Tamandua tetradactyla: one gene and its partners. The protein of the gene in region 3 interacts with the protein of the main gene of each other region in a pairwise test. Links are inferred from orthologs where the notes say so. Each region holds a gene or a part of one and is shown on either strand. Other genes may lie near its edges.

The links.
Region 1: the proteins of FATE1 (region 3) and BIK interact in binary tests that used the Homo sapiens proteins (3 or more experiments, as listed by UniProt). The two-hybrid records come from large-scale screens. The link is inferred for Tamandua tetradactyla from reciprocal best matches to the Homo sapiens genes FATE1 and BIK.
Region 2: the proteins of FATE1 (region 3) and CCDC70 interact in binary tests that used the Homo sapiens proteins (3 or more experiments, as listed by UniProt). The two-hybrid records come from large-scale screens. The link is inferred for Tamandua tetradactyla from reciprocal best matches to the Homo sapiens genes FATE1 and CCDC70.

Annotation. Positions count from the first base shown.
Region 1 is NC_135333.1:36,798,477-36,805,931, forward strand, and holds the start of BIK (bcl-2-interacting killer), read left to right. Parts: upstream 1-4,449; coding exon 4,450-4,518; intron 4,519-4,795; coding exon 4,796-4,947; intron 4,948-7,455.
Region 2 is NC_135330.1:105,214,357-105,222,097, forward strand, and holds the start of CCDC70 (coiled-coil domain-containing protein 70), read left to right. Parts: upstream 1-4,735; 5' UTR 4,736-5,002; intron 5,003-5,013; exon of another isoform or gene 5,014-5,156; intron 5,157-5,187; exon of another isoform or gene 5,188-5,349; intron 5,350-6,250; exon of another isoform or gene 6,251-6,254; 5' UTR 6,255-6,327; exon of another isoform or gene 6,328-6,347; intron 6,348-6,471; exon of another isoform or gene 6,472-6,800; intron 6,801-7,326; 5' UTR 7,327-7,493; intron 7,494-7,741.
Region 3 is NC_135353.1:3,542,180-3,549,448, forward strand, and holds the start of FATE1 (fetal and adult testis-expressed transcript protein), read left to right. Parts: upstream 1-4,253; 5' UTR 4,254-4,359; coding exon 4,360-4,465; intron 4,466-5,560; coding exon 5,561-5,691; intron 5,692-7,269. UniProt on the Homo sapiens protein: Involved in the regulation of endoplasmic reticulum (ER)-mitochondria coupling. Negatively regulates the ER-mitochondria distance and Ca(2+) transfer from ER to mitochondria possibly implicating it in the regulation of apoptosis.

The DNA.
Region 1 (7,455 bases), on a different chromosome or scaffold from region 3:
GCTCCTACTGTTCCCCAACCTGAAACACTCTTCCCTCCACAGCAATCATTTGAAATTCAGTCAGTTTCTCGAGATTCCCATCAAACACCTCCTCCTCCACGAGAACCACCCTGATGCGTGTGCATCCTCTCGTTGAGCCTGGCTCTAGGCCTTCTCTCTCCTGAGGCCCTGATCACTTTCTGTCTGGAATTTATGTATTTCTGTCCTGGCTTTGTCTCTAACTTGAAACTAAGCATTTGCCTTTGTCTCTGGCTCAGCTCCAGCCTGCTACCAGATCAAACATAGTTTTCTTCCTCTTCTTAAAAGAAAAAAAAACCTTTTCCCGATTACCAAATTAATATGCTTATATAGAAAACCTGGAAAACACAGAAAAATACAATGCAGAAAATTTGACCACCTGCAATCCTACTGCCCAGACAGGACCACTTTGCTTTGTTGTGTTTCCTACCAGAACTTTCTTATACAGGGACTTTTAGAAATGTGGGATTTATTCCTGAAACCCAGAGGGACCAGCCTCTCCAAGATTATCAATTAATTACCTCCCCCTATCCTTTAGTGTTGACACCCCTTCACAACATGAAAAAGCCAGAAAGGGGGCGGGCCGCGGTGGCTCAGCGGGCAAGAGTGCTTGCCTGCCGTGCCGGAGGACCCCGGTTCGATTCCCGGCCCCAGCCCATGTAAAAAACAAACAAACAAACAAAATATAATAAAACAAGAAAATGTTTAAAAATGTTTCCCTTTCTTCCTCCCTTCCTTCCTTCTCTGTCTTTCCTTCCTTTCCTCCCTCTCTCTAAATAAAAAAAAAAAAAAAAAAAAAAAAAAGCCAGAAAGGGCATTGCCCAGGGATCCCTATGGATTAGGAGAAGGATCCGGGGGAATGGAGGAGGCATAGCAGAGAGAATAGGATTTGGAAAACAAGTATGACTGCTGAATCACTATATTAATATCCCGTCTAGCCTCCAGCGTTTAGGAGCATCTAGAAGGAAAAAATCTGGAGGAATGGTAGCCCATGACAAATTCTGGGACCTGTTCTGTAACTACTTGCTGAGGTGTGCTTTGAAAATTACTGCTTTTTTCTTTCTTTGCTTTGTATATGTTATAGTTTATAATAAAAAATGTTTTTAAAAGTATGGGATTTATAGTGGACACACTAATTTGTAAAACACACTATTTTATCTAATAGATCACACATCTCCAAGATACAGTACCTTTTGTGGACATGTTAAAACTCTTTACCATTCAGCCATAAAAAGGAATGAAGTTCTGACACATGCTACGAGATGGTTGAACCTGGAAATCATTATGCTAAGTGAAAGTACCTGACACAAAAGGCCACATATTGTCTGATTCCACTTGTATGAAAGGTCCAGCACAGGCAAATCCATAGAGATACAAAGCAAATTAGAGGTTGCCAGGGGCTGAGGTGGGGGGGCAGAGTGGGGAGTGGCTGCTTAATGGTGTGGGGCTCCTTTTGGAGTGGAAAATGTTCTGGAACTAGATAGTGGTTACATTTGCACAACATTGTGAACGCATTAAATGGCACTGAATTTTACACTTTAAAATGGTAAATTGTATGTTAGGTGCATTTACCACTATACAGGTGGTAGAGGCAGGATTCGAACTTGGTACATCTCAGATCTCACCCACCAGGCTGGCTGCAAGTCGTCTTCCCAGAGAAGACTCATAATCAAACACAAGTTTGCTTTACTCTGGGTGTGGCAGCGGGGAGTGGGGTGTCACAGACTTTCAGAAGTCCAGCTACAGTCTTCAAAGGTGGATGGGACAAAGGGTTCCAACCTCTTGGCTGTGTGCCCTGGTGCCGGTTAGAACCCCTCTCCAAGGCTGGTCTCTAGTGGGGAGACTCTGTCCCTATGGATTTGCCTATGCTGGATTTTTCATACAAGCAGAAGGAGGTACATGAAACCACCCAGGCAATGTGCCCGGCCCACTGTGCTCCCTGCGAGGTGCTCCTGGGAAGGGCGCAGGTGAAATGCACGGGTGAGGAGGGGGCCTGCCAGGCTGCTCTGCCTCCTGGCACTAAACTCAGGCCCAGCTTGGGAAAGAACAGAGAAGCCCTTTGAGGAGCCGACCCTCCTGATATTACACAGGCTTCCGCAGAGCCCGCAGAGCTCAGGGATTTTCCAGATAAGGTGTCACCTCAAGGCTGGGCATAAAAGTCTGGGATGACGAGTGGCCAGACAGGGCCATTTCAAACCCACACCAGCTTCTGGCTCTCCAGGTGGGGCTCTGGACACCGAGGCCAGCACTTGGCAAGCAGGTGGTCATTTTCTTGTCCACCCTGCACACGCTGCCAGCTCTGTCCCTTCCTTCCCCTCTCCAGCCATGGGCATCACCCTCAGGTCTCTGGAAGGCTCCTCTCCTCACTTCCCTCTGTGCACGAAGTTCGCCTCGCTCAGAGCCTCCTCTGGCCACCCTGGCTAAAAGGCCCACCCCTGTCCTCCACCCTCCACCCCTCCCCTGCTCCACGCTCCTGCGCTGGTGCTGTGCCTGTGACTGCTGGACACTATTTTCCCGTCACCAGGTTTATCCTCTATCTCCTGCACTAGGATGTGTCATCTCTGGACCCCATCACCGACCATCCTGCCTGGCACGTGCCAAGTTTCACTCAATTTGTTAAATGAATAAGCAAATAAATGCATATCAATGACAACCTGAAGTGGTGCCCAAGGGTCTGTGGGCAGTAGATCCTTGAATAACAGACAAAAGCGGTCATGGTCGCAGCAGGAGGGGCTTGGGTGGGGGGGTGGAGGGGGGGTGGGGGGGTGGGGGTCGCTAGGAAGGTTCAGAGGCCCCAGAGGCAGCTCCCCTGGACTGCCACTCAGGTAAGGAAGGGACTGCACCACGGGCCTGAGTGCAGGATCCCCGGGACTTGCACCCACCTCTGCTGCTGTCCTCCCTCTGCTAAGCCTCAGTTTCCCCATCTGTAAAACAGGTCACAAGTTGTCCCGTGCCTGTTCACGCACCCTGTGAGTGCTCCAGCTTGTCATATGGAAGGGGTGTGGTCCGTCCTGTCACATGGGGGTGGTTGGCTGCAAGAGTACAGGAGCTCCTTATTAGGGAGTGCTTAGCCCTAGGTGTGGGGGCCAAACAGGTGGGACAAGTCACCTTATCCTTGAACTGTTAATACCATTTGCCATCTAACCCAGGGCCTTTTTTGGACTAAAGGACCAATTCTTATTCAAAAGGATTTTGCCTCTTCCTCCATTTAATCAGCATATTACCAAGGGAACTTGCAAGGCAAATTTTTTTAACCCACTCCTCCCAGCCCTTCTATCCCCCATCTATCCCCAGACTGACCTCCTTCCTCTGTTTGCTCTGCTAACATTGATTGAGTGCCCACTCTGTGCCCTCTGCAGTGCCCTTGCTTCACCCGAGGGCCCTCAGGGGGCATTTCTACCCACCTCGGGTCTTTTGGCCTGTAACACCCTGTGTCACCGCTTCTGTTTCACTTTCCCTGAGTATTTTGCTGGCTCCTCACTCCTGCCTGTAAGGCACCCTGTGGCCGGCCAGACCCTGGGGACAGCGGCTTTGTGGGGCTTAGGCTTTATGAGACCTGGGGACCTCATTAAGACAGGGACATGCATTTACAAAGACATTTGGGCTCTGAGTTCTTCAAAGCTTCGCTAACTTTCCCCTCTGACCCTAACAGCTCCAGGGGTCGGTGCCGTCTTCCCTTTTAGCACATGAGGACACTGAGTGAGAGGCTGGTCACCCCAGTGGTGATGTGACCCTGAGGGCCCCACAGGTGGCAAATGGCAGAACAGCCCAGGGAGCCCCCTCTGGGCCCCACCCTATGCCCTCAGATCAGACTGAGGTAAACAAGCCTTGTTGTGTTCTCCAAACAAAGGTTACTTTGTTATCCCTGCTCAGCCTCTCCCTTCCTCCACCCCAAACAGCCCCTAGGCCTGGCCTGGGGGTTTCTGCTCCCTCCCCCCACTCAGGGCTCCTTCCATTCCTCCTGCTTCCACAGGAGCTCTGGGCACCACCTCGCTCTAGCCTCCACTGCTTGTCCACCCTCCATTTTCTTGCAACAAGGAGCCCCAGGGCAGGTCAGGATGCCCCAGCTTTGCAAGGCTTGGGGGGTACCGGGAACAGGTGTGTGCAGGCCAAAGGCTGCACCAAGCCGGGATGGAAGCAGTGATGGGGGTGGGGGGAAGCTGCCCTATTTTCTACATTTGCGAAATTTGCTTACAAATACCTAATTCCCGAAGCTACCAGTGTAAAGAGTACGGATATCTGAGCACTGACTTCACACTGCCACTCAGCAAGTCATTTTGTCCTCTCTGAGCCTCAGTTTTCTCATCGGTAAAATGGGCACCGGAAAAAGCACCGACCCCTTAGGACTTTTTTGAACGGAATGAAGGTTGTATACAGTGGCGCAGATTTGGCCAGTAGCTCCATCCCCAAATATTCCGCCTGGGCTACTGCATGCACAGTCGGCAGCGAAAGGACAAAAACAAGCTTGCAGATTTGCGGAGCCACAGAGACAATAAACAAGTACGCAGATTACACTTGTAGCAGTTCTGTTACCATTTGCGGTCTCAGTCTTGGCCTCCGGGAGGTGGGGCGAAGGAGGCCGCCCTGGGGGCGGGGTCGCAGGGCGGGCGGGGCCTCGAATTCCAGGTGGGAGGGGGAAAGGGCGGGGCCGACGGCGTCGGGGCCAGAGCGGGCGGGATGGAGGCTGGGCCGCGGGCGCGAACCCCCCTGAAGAGAGGGGCTTGGGCGGGGCGTGGGCGGGGCCCGGCCGGCCTATCCTGTCCCGGGCCGTCCGCAGAGCCTCAGACAATACACCTCCCGGGTCACGCCACCGCCAGACGCCGCCGGCACTGTAGCCACCGCCGCGGGGGTGACTGCGATCCAAACGCGCCCCGCCCGCGTCCTCTACCTCGCTGCTGTCCGACCCTCCGCCCAGCCCGAGCCGGGCAGGTAAACGCCCTGGGGGTCGCCGGGGGGTCCGAGCGGGTGGAAGGCTGAGGACCCGTGGCCCAGGTTTTCGTCCCCAGGGAAAGTGTAGGATGTGGTATGTGCGGAGCGGAGACTCGGAGACCTCGGCTCTGCGATCGCCCCGGATGATTCCAGTTGCGGCCCCCTGCGGGCCTCAATCTCCGCATCTGAGCAATGGGGTGGTGGCCCCCTTGCCCGGCGCCGCCCTCCTGCGCGGCCTCCCGGCTCTGGGCTCCATCTCGATCTCGATCTATTGGGGGCCGTCGGGGGATGGGTTGGGCGGGCAAGAGTGCGGTGCCGGACCCCAGGCCCAGAGCCGGGACGTCAGAGCCCCAGGTTCCCCTAAAAAAAGGGAAGATGGCGTCGGGCACCTGTCCCCACCGGGACCCGAGCGCCGGGAGCCTCCGCGCACCTGCGGAGGGGTCGGAGAAAGGCTTTATCTTAGAGCGCCGGGAAAGCCCGGAACAGGAACTGGTGAGCGGAGCCGGGCGCCGCCGCTGACCCGCACCTGCCCACGCCCCTGCACAGGTGCGCACAGCGGGCGGAGCCGCGGCTCGACCCCGAGGCGGGGCGCCAGGCTCTTGTTTTGTAAACAGGGAGCCGCCAGCCCGCGCGCTTAGCGTTTGAATGGGCTCGGGGACGCGGTTCTTCGGTCACCCGGGAGGGGACCCGGCGCAGCCTGCGGGCCCGGCTTTAATAAGCGCTGGCGGGCTCCCGGCTTGTTCAACTTTCGCGGTGGCGCCTTGGCCTCCTGGATGCGCGTCCGCTTTGGAAACCGGTAATTGCTACTCTGATATTCTCCCGGACCATCCATCCCTGGGGCACGGGACGTTGTTGCCGCTGCACTTGCAACATTTTTTGAGCACCTGCTGTGACCGGCCCTGTATCAAGTGCCCCCCCCCACACACACACCTGTAATCCTTGCCCCAGTTCGCAGAGAAAGGGACAGTTAGCAGCCTTGTAGTTCCCACGTTGAGAAGGGGAAAATCCAGCCCATACTAGGAAGATGTGCTAGCCGCTCCCGACACAGGAGATTTCATTTTACAGACGGAGAAACTGAGACCAGCCTCCCACCGCCCAGAAAGGGATATAAACAAATACCCAAGCTGCAGAGCTCAAAACCCAGAGCTGTTTTCTTGAAGCCAAGACTCTGCTCTCCACTCAGCGGCTTTCCAGCTATGTGGACTTCCACAGGCTACTTCACCTCTTTGAGCCTCAGTTTCCTCCTTCTGTAAAATAGAGATTACTGCATTCTCTAAAGGAACCCCGGAGGAGTCTGGCCAGGTATGGAGAAGCCATGCCAGCCCAAGGGCAGCTAGCTGTTAGCAGCACCCTAGAGTTAATGATACTTAACCTTTTTTCTACTTGGAGTTTTTCACCTCTTTGGGCAGAGCCTCAGAATAACTTCTCAAGTGGTACAATTTTGGTGTTTCTTGATACCGTCTGGTGGTGGTTCCCTGAATGGATGGGCACAGGTGATCACAGGCAGGAGCCAGGTCCTCTCCCAGAGGCAAAGGTGGCAATGAGTCCTTCTGCTCCCGGGCAGCTGTGCGTACCTGGGTGCCTGGAGGCTCAGTAGCCTGCCTGACCTTCCTTATCTCGCTGCCCTCCCGCCTTGCCTCGTCTGTTCTCCACTCCTCCCCCTCGCTTCTCACTCCTGGATTTGGGGATTTCCCACTATCTTCTGAACCTTAAGGTCACAGGAGCCTTTAGGGACTGATTTAGCTGCGGCTTTCCCACAAGCTTGGTTGCACCATTTTCCTTTACTTTTCTAGCTTTTCGTTTATATAATGGTTATTAAATATCAGGGGAAACTGGCTGCCAGGGTGTGGGTTTTCGGCCAGTACCTCAAAAATGTCCTTTTCCAGGGCTGCGAAATTATTTAATCAACTTTCTAAGATAGCTTCTAGTCGCTTTAGGGGAAGAAGGAGGGTGATGGGGAAGTTGATAAATGCTGCTGACCATCTCCAAGCACTGGGGATGCAGGGTGAACTTCCATGGGATATTGCGAGGCCTCGGGATCACCCGGGTGAAACATTTAGTCCCATTGGGTGCTCGGCCCCTCATACGTTTTGTCTTTGCCTTCTTGGCCCAGTTGCCGCTTCCTCTGAGAAGTCTTCCCTGAACACCCCTCCCTCCCTACCACCACTCCCTTGGTCTGTGACCTTGCTTTGTCTTCAAAACACAGTAGAAAGTGGGAAGTTATCTTCTGCGTTAATGTGTACAGAGTGGCCCCCCTAGCCTTCACTTCTGTGAGAAGAGAAGCCTTGAATGTCATGTTCACTGCCATATCCTGGTGCCTGGGCACTTGGGTAACAGATGGAAGGGCTGCCTACACGTTAATTATTGTGAGTTTTAGGTGCTTAGTACATATAACAGCAGAAAAATGACATCTGAAATCACTAAGCCACAGAGAAGAAACCAGAGACCACTGCGAACAGGTCCATTTTTCCCCTTCTGATCAACTTTCTGGAAAATAAATGGAAGGTG
Region 2 (7,741 bases), on a different chromosome or scaffold from region 3:
GAAAAGACAGTAAGAAATATAAGGAACTGAGGTCCCACCCCACTCAAATTGGTGGAATGAGATATTCCAGAGTTCTATTTCCTCATCGAAGATTTGAACAACCAATAAGACCTGACAGAAACATCCTTCTCAAAGGTCCAGGAAACATTTAAAAGGATTGCAACTTTTTGTAATGGGGTGAGGTTATAATAAAGAAAAAGGCAACTGGAAAATAGTATGAAAACCTTTTTGTGAGGCCCTTGTTGTCCCCTCCTCCAAACTTTCACCATCTCAGTATGGAGTTGGCCCACACATCCAGTGCTGGTCCCTGGTCTTGGTTGGAGAGGGAAAAAAGTAACCTTCATGCCCATACTGGGAGCATGTCTGTCCATCCCTAGTCTAGTTAGTAGAAGCTTAAGGACTAAATCAGTACACTCATTAGAGGCTCATCACAAAAGAACTTGTTTTGCATGCAGAGGCAGCTCATACGATGCTGTGGGAGAGCAGTCAAGTCTGCTCTCTGCTGACTGACTGGGCTAAGGACTGCTGGTTGTGGAACAACAGAGCAGTACCCCGTACCGTAAGAAACTGCAGTGTCCTAGGAAGAGAGGAATTCATATCTATGTAAATGGGGTATTTCCTAGGGCTATGTGAGCATGCCCAAGACAAGACACATGGGCAGAAAGGACCAGGGAAGACCTTATGTTTTTGGCTTGAACTATTCTCTGATATCATTGTGTGGCTAAACTCTGAAGGAAAGCTCTCACAACACGCACAGGACAGTCTTCAAAGACTGGGAATGTGTTTCCTTTTTTCCTTCTCTCTTTTTTTTTTTTTTCAGTTAGCGCCTGGCAGTCAAGGAATAACACTACCTGGATAAAAGTTTAAAGAATGGGCGGGCCACGGTGGCTCAGCAGGTAAGAATGCTTGCCTGCCAAGCCCGAGGACCCGGGTTCGATTCCCAGTGCCTGCCCATGTTAAAAAAAAAGTTTAAGGAAAATGCCTCAGAATGATAAATTCCAGCAATAACCCATCAAAATATAAAAATTTCCAGATTTCAACAAAAGATTACAAAACATACAAAGAAACAGGAAGTTATGGCCCACCCCCCAAAAAGAAGATTATAACATTAGAAACCATTAACAAGGAAAACCAGACCTGGGACATTGTAGACAAAGACTTTTTAAAAAATGGTTCTTAAATATGCTCAAAGATAAAGATAAATATTGGACATAGAATTAAAGACATTAAGAAAATGGTAGTTGAACACAAAAAGAATATAAATAAAAGATAAAAATTATGAAAGGAAGCAAAGAGAATTAAAGACCATATAACAAAAACAAAAAGAAGGACTAAACAGATTTGAGCTGATATAAGAAAGAATTGGTGAACTTGAAGACAAGGCAATTTAAATCATTCAATCAGAGAAGGAGAAAGAAAAAAGAATAAAGAAAATCGAAGAGAGTCTGAGGAGCCTGTGGGACACCAGCAAGCATTCCAGTTTATGCATTGTGGGATCCCAGAAGAAAAAGAGAAAAAGGCAGAGAGAATTCAAATAAATAATGGCTGAAAACTTTCCAAATTTAATGAAAGATATGAATATATACATCCAAGTTACTCACTGAACTCCAAAAGGGATAAATTCAAATAGACCCATACTGTGACATATTATAATCAAATTGTTGAATAGCAAAGAAAAGAGAGAATTCTGAAAGCCGCAAGAGGGAAGAAACATGTCACATACAAGGGGACCTCAATAAGATTAAATGCTGAAGAAACCATGGAGGCAAGAAGGCAGTGGTATAACATACTTAAAATGCTAAAAACAAAAAATTGTCAACCAAGAATTCTATATCTGGCAAAACTCTTTCAAAAATGAGGTAGAGATGAAGACATTCCCAGATAAGCAAAAGCTGTGGAGTTCATCACCACTAGACCAGCCTAAGAAAAAGAGTGAATGGAGTTTGCAGGTTGAAAGGAAAGAATGCTAGACACAGATCAAAATCATGTGCAGGAGTAAAGAGCTCCACTAAAGGTAATGTCATGGATAAATATAAATGCCAGCACGACTGTACTTTTGGTTTGTCACTCCATTTTTACTTCCTACAGTATCTAAAAGGCAAATGCATAGAATATAATGATAAGTCAATGGTTTTGAACTCATATTGTATAAATATGTAATTTGTGACAAAAACTGCTTACAAGTGGGAGGACACAGGGGTATAGGAATATGGTTTGTGTTTGCTATTGAAGTTACATTGGTATCAAACCAACTGAGGTCAGTATAGCTTTAGGCTGTTAAATTTAAGCCCCATAGTTACCACAAAGAAAATATCAGAGAATATGCACATTCATGGAGACAAAAAGTAGAGCATGGGTTACTAGGGGCAGGAGAGCAGGACAAATGGAGGAATTAAAGCCTAATGGGTGTAAGACTTCTGTTTGGGGTAAAAAGAAAGTTCTAGTAAGGAATGATGGTGAGTGTACTGCAACATTGTAAAGGTGATTTTTCCCACTGCTTGGTATGCATGGGAGTGGTTGGGATGGAAAGATTTATGTTGTATATGTTTTCACAATTAGAAAAAAGGAGCAACTAAAGAGACAATTCAATGCAGTATACTGGTCAGGATCTAACAAAGGTGGAGAAAAGGCTCAAGAGGACATTACTGGAACATATGAAAAAAATACAACATAGACTATACACTCTTAAATTTGGACTACATTAAAATTAGGAGTTTTTGTTCATAAAAATTTATCATTAAGAGAGTGAAAAATGAAAGCTACATGTGGAAAGGTATTTGCAACACATAACTACCAATGGTTGGGGATTGAATTTGTGTCCTCCACAAAAGACATGATCAAGTCTCAACCCTTGGCCCTGTGGGTGTTGACCCTTGATAAGTAGGATCTCTTGAAGCTGTTATTTCAGTTAAGATGTGGCCTAACTGAATTAGGTTGACCTTTAATCCATACTACCAGAGTCATTTATAAGTAGAATGAAATTCAGGCACAGAGAGAACAAAGCCATGGGGAGCAGCCAGAAGCTGGAAGTCAACAGAACCCGGAGGAGAAAGGAGAAGATGCGGTCATGTGTGCTGCCCGTGATGGAAAAGCCAAGGAACCCCAAAGGTGGCAGGCCAGTCAGAAGGCACCAACCTCAGGGGGAAGCAAGCCTCCTAGCCTCTGAAACCATCAGTCAATAAATTCCAACCCATGGCGTGGCATTTGTTTCAGCAGCTAGGCAACCAAAACACAGATTCTATTCAAAACATGAAAAGGACTATTACAAGTAAAAAACAAAACAAAAACATACAAAACAGAAGGCCCAATACTAAAATGGGAAAGTACCTTGAACAAGTATTAGTCAGGGAATTGCCAATTAAAATCCTGACGAGGTATGATTGCATATACACTGTGTTACCATGGTTTTGACTTTACCCTTTTTGTTGCTCTATGGAAATGTGTCTGGACTTTTAATTTTTTTCCTTGTCAGCGGGCACTGACTCTTGGTCAGTAGAGGATGCTGGGGAGACTTTGCAGGAGGAAAGAGTTTTGCTTCCTGGCTCCAGTGCATCTGGCTTCCGCAGTGTGCTCAGCTTCTCTGGGCCTGGCTTCTACAGGACCCGCAGGGAGCAGAGCCCCGAATACCTCTAGTGAGACAACTCCCCATGCACAACTTCTCCAGCACCCCGGAGGGTGGATTTTCACCCAGTCCACAGCGTCTTCTCTGCTGGGCGTTGGTAAGCTGGGCGGTGGAGAGGCGAAGAAAGACCTAGTGGTAATATCTGCTCTTAATATCTGGTCTTTCCTTACTCTTTGGAGTTCTCTTTACCTCCTACTGGTCAATCTCTCATAACTTCATTTCCCTGTTATAATCATTCTTTGTATTCAACTTTCTCTGTCCAGATTACTGCATAGTTTCTCCCCTGATTAGACCCAGACTGATGGATCCGCCTTTAAAAAGTGGCAATACCAAGTTTTGTCAACGATGTGGAGCAACTAAACCGTGTACACGGTTAGTAGGAATGGAAATTGGTACACTGTTTTGGAAATTGTCAGTATTTACTGAAGTGAAATGCATACTCTTCAATTCTACTCCTGGATAAATACCCACCAGAAATGTGAACATAGGTGTACCCAAGTATTTACACAAATGCTCATGGAAGCTTTATTCATAATAGCCAAATATCAAAACAACCCAATTGTCCATCAATAATAGAATGAATAAATTGTACTATCTGAGACAGTGGAATTTATAAACATCAATGGAAATGAACTACTGCTTCACACAAGAATAGATCTCATAAATATACTAGTGGACAAAAAAGCCAGATACAAGACATATATTCAGTGTGATTCCATTTTCATAAAGATTTAAAACTAATAAATCTAATCTGTGGTATAGGAAGGCAGAATAGGGGATGCTGTAAGGCTATCATTTGCTTAATTCTGTACTAATCACATAGAATTTCAGTAACTATGTTTTCAGTTGAGTTGTTAAGTTGGTGAGCCTAGGTAATTTCTAATAAGATTCGAAGGATGTCTTGAAGTGGGTATGCAGAGAGCTTCTCTCCTGCCTGGCCTTTCTCCCAGTTTTCCTCTCCAGAGTTTCTTTTTTTTATCTGAAAAACAGGGTAATTTTTTTTTTATAAGGCAACTGCTACTGTCAGAGTCCCCTAGCGAAACATGATTTTCCGGAAGGCTGTCCCTGGAAACAATCAGGCAGAATGTGAAGTAACAATCATTTGTGAGTCATCAACAGTACTGGCCTTCTGATGAAGTGAAAGTGGAAGAGGGCATAGTCTTTCAAACCTTGTAGGTTCTCTAACCTCTAGCTAAAGTCTCTTATTCAGAGTCTCATCTTGGGTCTTTTTGCCTTGTGAACCAGGACTGAGAGAGCAAGCAGTGCTTGCAAGCAGTGTTGGGTGAGATGTGACAATGACGTCACTAAGGATCTGACATGACAATGACCACCTGCCCTTTGAGGGTGATAGGACTTGCCCAGTTGGGAAACAGCTAAGCTGTAAGTAACCATTGCCTTCTCATTTGATAGTGTTGGCTTTAAGCATAGGTTCATATATAGCATTTCCCTTAGAAATTATTTCTTAATCTTTAAGTAGAATGATGATTAGGCATGTTTCTTTGTTTCATGCCCTTATATCATCTTCTGCTCAGAGGTAATTTGATCATAACTTGGAGTTGAATTTTTCTAGTATCTTGAACCCAGGGGACTGGCCTTCATTCTGCCATTTACTAAACAGCTCTATGTCAGACATTGTATTAGATGCTGGATGTGGAGAGGGGTGAAAAGTGTTCCTGGTGGGTCAGGAGGGGCATAAACTCAGTCTGAGCAAGACAAAGGAGTGACAGGTGAGGTTTCCCAGAGATCTGACTCCTTATTTGGGTCTTGAAAGATTAGCTGGGTGAAGTGAAGTGGGGTTAGGCAGACTATCCAGGGAGGCAGAACAGCATGGCAAAGGTAAAGAAGGTAAGCATAGTTGAGGAATTTTCAGATGGCCAGAGTATCTGAGAGTTCTAGAATGGCTTTCAGGGGCAGATCATGATAGCTCTTGCATGTCACCCTAAGAAAATAAAAACAGCATCATAATAGTAATTATAATTATTCACATTTTCTACATTTATTGACCACTTTTTATGTGCACTCAATATACCCAATTTGTTCCTTGCAAGAGTGCTATGAGGTAGGACAAGGTGTACTCCATTGGGAAAAGGAATCCATAAACAGACTAAGAAAGAACTATCTGGAAAGTAAGAGGAGAACAGGATAGCCTGATATCAAAGGAGTCAAGGGGGGGGAAGAAAATTTTAGAAAGGATTAGCATCGAGTGCTGCCAAGATGATCTTAATTGGTACAGTTTCTGAGAAGTTAGGAGGCAAAAGATAGACCACTGTAAGATGACGGTGCAAAATGGCAATGCAGACATAGTGATAGTGCTTGTCACCTATTCTTTTAAGAGAGTGTTAGCAAATAGAGGGAATTAGAGGACTCTGGTTTTTGTTTGTTGGTTGATTGGGTGTCTGTTTTTATGATGAGACTTGAGCAAAGTTTATGTGCTGACAGACAAGAATGAGCAGAAAGAGAAAGAAAGCAAGAGAGACAGAGAGTAAGAGAGAGGTCAGAAACTTACTGAGTGAAAACAAGGGAGCCGTGAGGAGATAGGACAAAGTCACAGGAAGAGAACTTACCTTGCTAAGAGAGTGAGCTGAAAATTGAGGAATTTCATTCTACAAGTTTCTTTTTTCTCCATAGATAGAAGGCAACAACCTCTGAGAATGAGGGAGAGTCCGTGAAGACTTGACGGGAGCCTTGAAGACGTCAAAGAAACCGTAAGACACCAAATGCCATAGTAGGTCTCTCCTGCTGCTGCTCAGGCAGGGACTTAGATTCAGAGGGAAACAAATCTAGTTAAGTGAACTCTTGGCACTCACTGAGCTAATTTGTCTTTTTTTTTTTTTTTTTCTATTCTCAAGTGACTCTAACATCTGTGGTGTTGGTGAGGAGATGCCACTTTGAATGACAAGAGTTATGAGGCTAAGAAAGTGAATTTCTTAGCAAACTGAGCCAGCCTCCCAGAATGTACTTCTCAGCTCAGCTTTGAGGTTCATCTTCTCCTCATTGGGTTACATCCTCTGTTTCTTCATGGAAAGCAGCCCTAAAAGGAAAGCTAATAGCAAAGGCTTGTGATAGGCCTGCAGAAAGTGTGAGAAGTTCTAAGAAAGCCGTAGAGTAACTACATCAGCTATAGTTGAAATCTGTGGCCAAAAAAAGGGAGAAGTTAATTAAACTGCTTTATCAGTGAGCTCTTTAGTTAGTGCAAACACTGTTCATAGAGTAAAAAAATAAAACTTTAGCATAAGTTGGAGGGGTGACTGCTTTTGGTGTTGGGATATGTCCAGGAAACACTTGAGAAGTCAGAAGCCTGCCCAAACATTTCCTTTGTAAACTAGAGACAGATGGCTCTCACAAATGAAAAGGGACTATTGTGAACTGTATTTGTTGTTTGTTGAAAAATTTAAGCTGTTATTGTCTTTAGTGATAACATTCAATATGTTTTAATTCACATGTTCGTATATTTCCTTCAGCCATAGTGTTATGAGGAGAGATTATCTTTCATTCAACATTAATGACCAACTTGTTCCATGTTGCTGTTATCAGTTGGTCCCAGGCTTGATGTGAAGTCTCTCTCTTACACATACACTCGCACTCACAAACACACACACACAGTCACACCCCCTTCCTAACGAAAATATCAACTTGATGGTGTTTACAAGCAGCATTGCTTAATCATGTGATGTCTTTATAAAACGACCTTTGGCTTCTTGCAGAATCTTGACTCACAGACTTAATGATTTGGACAAGATATTTATTTATTTAAGCCTGGTTTTCTCAGTTACAAAACAGCATTACTCAAGGTGCCTGTCTCACACTGTTGTTGAAAGATGAAGCAGATGGTGCAGGTGAAGTGTCTAGCATCAAAGTGCTGAATGAATGGGTAGGTTGTAACTGTTATTATTGATATCGTAATTAGAAAGCTGGTTGTTGTCCACTGCTATCTTGGCTTTGCTCACAAACAGTCGTCCCATCCAGTTCAACGAATGATTGTGGAGGGCCTGCTCTGTGAACTCAGGGCAGAAAGAAAATAATGTAGGGAATTCATAGAAGAATGAGGCACTTTTTCTGACCTCAAGATATTAATAGTAGGGATAAAATAACCCTAATAAACATGGAAAATCAAAGTTC
Region 3 (7,269 bases):
GAGTATTTTCAACCAACGGTTGAGACCCACTGCTCAGAAAAAAAAGAATCCTTTCAAAATATGACTGCTCATTGACAATGCACCTGGTCACCCAAGAGCTCTCATGGAGATGGACAACAAGATGAGTGCTGTTTTCATGCTTGCTAACATAACATCAGTTCTGCAGCCCATAGCTCAGGGAGTTATTTCAAGTTTCAAGGATTATTATTTAAGAAATACATTTTGCAGGGCTGTGGCTGCCTTAGGTAATGATTTCTCTGATGGACCTGGGCAAAGTGCATTGAAAACCTTCTGGAATGGATTCACCATTCTAGATGCCATTAAGAACATTTGTAATTCGTGGGTGGAGGTCAAAGCATCAACATTCACATGAGTTTGGAAAGAGTGGATTCCAACTTTCATGAAGGACTTTGAGGGACTCAAGACTTCAGTGGAGGAAGTAACTGCAGATGTGGAAATAGCACGAGAACTAGAATTAGAAGTGGAGCCTGAAGATGTGACTGAATTGCTGCAACCTCATCATAAAACTTTTGTAGATGAAGAGTGGTTTCTCATGGATGAGTAAAGAAAATGGTTTCTTGAGATGGAATCTACACCTGGTGAAGATGCTGTGAACATTATTGAAATGACAGCAAAGGATTTAGAATATTACATCAACTTAGTTGACAAAGCAGTGGGAGGGTTTGAGAGGATTGACTCCAGTTTTGAAAGAAGTTCTACTGTGAGCAAAATGCTATCAAATGGCATTGTATGCTACAGAGAAGTCTTGTGTGAAAGGAAAAGTCAATCGATGTGGCAAATTTCATTTTTGTCTTATTTTAAGAAAGTGCTGCAGCCACCCCAACCTTCAGCAACCACCACCCTAATCAATCAGCAGCCATCAACATCGAGGCAAGACTCTCCAGCAGCAAAAGATTATGACTTGGTGAAGGCTGAGATGATGGGCAGCAATTTTTTAGCAATGAAATCTTTTTGAATTAAGGTCTGGACATTGTTCTTTTAGACATAATGCTGTTGCATGCTTAATAGGCTCCAGTGTAGTGTAAACATAACTTTTATATGCTCTGGGAAACCAAACTACTCATGGGACTTGCTTTATTGCAGTGATCTGGAACTGAATCTGAAATATCTCTGAGAAATGTCTGTACATCTGTTCAGACATGGGGAGACTCCCGAGGCACCAGGCCCCTGTGCACCTCTTCTGGAACCTTCCGTTGGGGTCTTCAGTCTCTGTGGCTCATCACTTGCACAGGGCCCCATAGTTACCACACCAGAGAGTGGAGGAATTTCAAAATGTTTTGGATGAGAGTTTAGGGAAATTTCAGAAGGAACTGGTGATGTTGGAGGGAAAAGATTGGCATGTCTGAGAGAAACGTTAAGGGACAAGTTCTCTCTCTTCCTTCCAGCCATCCTTGGTGGTCAATCTAAGTGAGGCAGGCCTGTGGAGATGGTGAGATGCCCATGGTTGGGAATGAAGTCTCCCCAACTCTTTGCTTCAAAAGGGAAAGCCTGTGTCCCTGGGAAGTGCGCCAGCTGCCCTCTGCTTTTGGCTGAGAGGAGACAAGTCTGCTGGACGTGAACTGGAGCAGAGTCCCTAGAGGGGCTTGATTACTGCTGACATTTCTCCAGAGGAGGGGAGAGCGTAGAGGCAGCCATCTGGTTGGAAGGGGGATTGGGAATGCTCCTTAAAGCACTTTGCATAGCAGGGCAAAGCATTTTCCTCTGAGTAGTGCATTTATTTGGAATGGTTGGAGGGGGCTGATAGAAATTACTATGGGACTAACACCTCCAATCTACTTTGTAATTTTACTGGCTGTGGGGACCCCCAAGAGAGCCAAGAGTGATATTAGGGAAGGCGACAGAAGGAAGTCTTCGTCTGCTGCCTAGTGCCTGGAGGGCACTCCCAGGGTCTGAGCTTGGGCAAGAGAGCAGAAAGACCCCGTGACTCTAGAGGGGTCACTTTACCTCTGAGGACTTCTGCTTCATTTGTTTTAAAATAAGGAGGATTTTAGTGGTTGTGGAATAACTTCTATGGGCCAGGCTATGTCTGTACTCCTGCCCTGGTTTTTGGGTGATGAGAACTGAGACCCACAGAGGTTAAATTCCTTTCTCAGGGTCACATAGTCCTTGCTTTCTCTCCAAGGTTGCCAGATTAAATACAGGGCAGTAGTTCAATTTGGGGTATACCTACATTAAAACATGATTTGTTTTTTCACACAAAAATCAACTTTAACTTGTCCTGTATTTTTTACTTGCTAACTCTGGCAACCTTAGGCAGCGGGTATTTTCAAGGGGTGAAGCCGATTTCCTGAGGAGCTTGGTGGGCTAGAAAAGGTGTGTGTGTGTATGTGTGTGTGTGTGTGTGCCTTTGGGAGGAGCTGAAGCTGTTCTCCAGGGGACTTTTTACTCTGAGAAAATGCAGCAGAAGAGTTAGAAAGCACTCCCTGCCACCTCCTCTGGGGGAGGCCAAAGATTGGAAATTGCTCTCCTTGCTGCCCATGGGCCCGTGATGAGGCCTTTGGACACCTGGGAATCAAAGAGATGATGCCATGTGGGATGGGTGGGCTGGAACATGAGGAGTGGGGTCAGGGCCTCTGCCCTGGTCTGGCCAGTGCCTGCACGGCAGACCTGACTGAGTAGTGCTCTCTGCATTTGGCATCCCTGTCTGTTGGGCCATTACCCAAAGGGCCCTTCCTGTTCCAGCCCTCTGTGGGTCTAAATTTGGCACTCTGCAGAGGGGAGCTGAGCCATCCTGGCCTCACCAAGCTCAGACCCTGGAACTGACAGCTCTTGTCCCTGCCAGTTGGTCCTGTCTGGGCCAGTCTGGTCCATAGGTTTCTCAAGGTTTTTGGCCTTAAGTGATGGGTGCCCCTGCCACCAGGGGGCAGTGCCTCTGCGAGCATCTGGACCCAGGTTCCCTGTTCCCTAGAAGCTCAGTTGGCAGCCAGAAGGATCTTCGGTCAGTGGCTCAGGGCCCTGCAGCAAGCCAGTGCCTGTACTGCCCAGCATCTGCTGACTCAGAGTGCCCCTCGCAACCAGGCAGCCCTCTAACCCCGTTGCCCACTGGGGGCACTGAGGCCCAAAGAAGTGAAACATTTGCCCAAGGTCAAATCTTGAGGTTGTGCTGAGGGTGGGCAGGGCCTAAGGCAGCCAGATAAAATACAAGCTATGCAGTTACATTTGAACCTCAGATAAACAAATTTTTTTTGTTTAGTATAAATAGTTCCCAAATAATGTATGGGGCATGCTGCTTCTAAAATTTTGTTTATCTGAAATGCAAATTTAACTTGGCATCCTGGATTTTTCTTGGTGAAATCTGGCAACCATGGTAGGTCAGAAACCCATGGCTGCCTAGTGTCCCAGGACCCACTGAGCAGCTCTCTGCAGCCTCTGCTTGATTTTGGGGTGGCAGAGAAGGAAGCCCTCCGGGAAGCTCGGGTTTCATGGCAGCTGCTGGCATGGGGTTGGGCAAGGCTCCTGGAGAGCCCCCAGGAATGGAGGCAGGGTCCCCGTCAGTTCAGCTGGGTGGGGGCTGAGTCCCAGCGCTGGACACGTGGGGCAAGGGACAAGTATAACCAGCCCCAGATCATGTAATGGTCTCTAAGTGAGCTCTAGCCTCTCCCTTCCCCCGTCCTCCCTCCTTCCTCCCCTCCCTCCTCTTCCGCCCACCTGGCCCCAGCTGTGCTTAGTTCTTTTCATCAACAGCTTCCCTAGAGACTCTGTGGCTATTCTCTAGAGTGGTCCCGGGAGCTTGCTGGAAGGAAGTTTTCTCATGGTTCTTGCAATGCTGAGCCAGGTTAGAGAAAGGCCATGTGCCTGCCTGAGAACTAGGGGTTAAGGGAGGCAGCACGTGCTCTGGGAGGACAGCTTCAGTGGAGGTGGGCTGGGGGGCAGCCTGGACTCTTTAGCTAGAGCTGGCCTCACAGAAGCCACAAGAGGCTTGGGACTAACCCTGCTTTGGCCAGCCACCATTTATGGGACCCTATGCCAGTCCTTGCCTCTCCCTAGAAATGATAGAGGGTGGACCCCACCTGCCCCAAGATGGGGCCAGATCAGGTGACCCCTGAGCCCAAACAGTTCTCACAGGCAAAGTTTTGAGCGTTATCTCTTCTCCTAAGTTGCTTACAGAGTAGCAGGGGAGAAGGCCACAGACCCAGTCAATAAGATAGAACAAGAACAGAAGGTGCTGGGCCCAAGGCCTGAGTGTGGAGAGGGAGTCTCTTGGCTCCACCCTTCTGCCCGCCCAGATATATCTGCCTGGAGCTCCTACCCCTCAAAGAGTGGTTTTCTAAGTGCCTCCTTTCTGACACGCACCCTGCGCAGCTCTGGCCACAGCCTACAAGTGAACAAGTGGCTTTGATGGCAGGAGAGCCCACTAACACCAAGGAGGAGATGGAAATGCCTTTGGCCAAGGAGGTGAGCCCTCAAGGCCAAGGGCAAAGTCAGGAGTGCCTGACAACAGCAGGTGAGGATCCCCTGAAATGCTCTCATCCTTGGGTGAGATGGCCAGCTGTGTGGACACACATCTGCACCTGTATGTGTATGTCTGTATGTGTGTGTGGGCACGAGCATGTGTCTGTGCCTTGGTGTACAAGCATTTGCAGCTTTCCCCTTATCTCGGAGCTTCTGAGCATCCCATGTGGGTGGAGGGCAGAAACAACAGTGGACATGGACCCTCTGTCTCCTCTGGTCCAAGTTCTCACTGTGTCTGTTGCAAAATATTCAAGTCAATTAATCAAATCAGTCAGACTGATTCTCTCTGCAAACCCTCCCAGTTCTTCCCCTTGGACTTTACCATAAACTCCAAACTCTGTGCCATGGTCTCCATGGCCCTATCAGTGTTGTCCCTTCAACCTTCTCCCTGTCACAGCATGCATGCAACATACAATGTGTATAGCACACGAAGGGCCCCACTCCACAGGGCATTTATATTTTCTTGTAACACCTCAAGCTTGTTCCTTTCTTGCAGCCTTTGTACTTGCTGTTGCTTCTGCTGGGAATGTTCTTGCAATGCTGAGCCAGGTTAGAGAAAGGCCATGTGCCTGCCTGAGAACTAGGGGTTAAGGGAGGCAGGACGTGCTCTGAGGGGACAGCTTCAGTGGAGGTTTTCCATGTCCAGGTTCTTTTTCCCTTTAAGGTCTCTGCTTCAATGTTGTTTCTTACTTTTCTACAAGTAGCCCCTTCTTCACTGCATGTTACCCTGCCTTTATTGTTCTGGGAGTGTGTATCTCTCTATGTGAAATTGCCTGGTTGGTTATTTTTGTTTTGCACTTTCACTCTGCTTAGTACACACATAGCTGGTTGGGTTTTTTGATTGCTGGGGCCTTATCTCGTGGTCATCGCTCTCTCCCCAGTACCTAGTACAGAGGTTGGCCTTCAGTAAATGTTTGGTGACTTGTTGAACAGATGAACAGACTGAGGCCTGGGACTGCCTAATGGGCAAGGGTGAGTGGGTACTGTGGATTGCTAAGAAATTTGTGGGGCTGTCTTCTTTATGGTGTTCCTATACCTAGAAAACCTTGGTACAACCTCTATCTTGGGACCTCTCTTCTTCTTCTAGAAATGACAGAGCAGGGATATTGGTCCCTAGGAGTCTACCAGCGGCGACAGAATTTGGAACTCAAGACTGTCAGCTGTGTTCTAGCCCCACCAGTTTGGAATATGACTGACATCCGCCCCAAGAAAATGGTTGTATGTGGGGTACTTGATACTTGGTGGCTGGGTTAAGGATGGGAATTTTGGCTATAGGTCTCCAGTCTGAGCATGGTAGGTACAGCAGGTCCAGATGTTGACTTGGGGGTCAGCAGAAGCTCCTTTGTGCCAGGCAGGAACCTGAGGGCAGGGGAACCCTTGAAAGATTTAGAACTGTCCTTTGGCAGGCAGGGAATCCAACCCTAGAAGTTCAAAATGTCTGAAGCACTCATTGCTTGGAGAGTACATATAAATGCTATTCTGTAAAAGCTGTACTGTGTGTGAAACGACACTTTCCTTGATTAAAAACAAAAACAAAACAAATGTATGTGGGGTGGGGGTAAGTTGTAAGCCGAGGTGAGTGAGGCTTCTAGGCTTCCTGGCTGTTACGAAATCCAATCACGTGAGTAACTATTCTGTAGCCAATCCTTTAGCTACACTGAAAGTGAGTGAAGGAATGTTCTAGAAAAAAATGGCAGTTACACTGTTGCAAAGGATACTGGGAAAGGGCAACCATTTTAGAAGAGGACTGAGACGTGACTGTTCTAGGGAATCACGTGAGTACTGTCTTTTGTCTGTAGCCAATCCTTTAAGCTTTGTTCAATGTGGATGGGGAAATGTTTCAGAAAAATTGTGCTATACTGCAGCAAAACCTACTGGGAAAAGATAGCCAGGTTAGAGGATGAACACACTGTCCTGGGAACCATGTGAGTCCTATGTTCTGTAGCCAGTATTTTAAGTTACATTAATGTGGGTGACGGAATGTTCTAGGAAAAATGACTATTTTATAGTGGCAAAGAATACTGGGAGAAGACATTGAGGTTGGGGAGGAGGGAGACCTGACTTTTCTAGGGGTTAGGTTACAATAAATGCTTAAATGATCCCATCCCCGAACGCAAAAAGAGAGAAAGAGCCCCCAGGTCAGAGACTGCTGGGAATGCATATAAACCAGAAATACTGGATTTACTTCCTATGTCCAAAGGCTGGAACCAAATCAAGTTCTTCCAGCAGATCGGACTCCAGGAAGCCACCCCTGCCCTTGAGACCGCAGGAGGATATAACCACTCGATTAATTAAATTTAGCTATTAGAACTAGAGAAGTGTCCTTAAAACCCACAGACATTATATTGAATTTAAAAATTAAGACTATTATTTGATTTATTAATTTGATTTATTATAAAACAGAACTATTAATGGAACTGCCAGTGCCTCTGAGACAACTGCAGCATGCAAGGGCCAAATAAATAGTGAGCCTTAAAAAGCACTTTTTTGAAACAATTGACAGCGGGAAATTTGGACATATTGCAGTTCATAGAATTTCCTATTCTCAATCAAATTAATATAAAAGCCTTACATTTTACAATGTATAAAATTTCAAACAGAGTTTTAAAAATAAAAAGGCAAAAAAGCAAATAACTGTTAACAAACATTTAGACTTATCTTATTCCAGGTGATCACAATAAAAGGTAGTATCAGCTTGGAGCTGTTGTTGTTAAATTAATTCTTACTATCTTGAAGTGCTGGCAACAAACTATGTTATCCTAAAGCAAACAAACAAAACCTGCCACTGTCCACTCT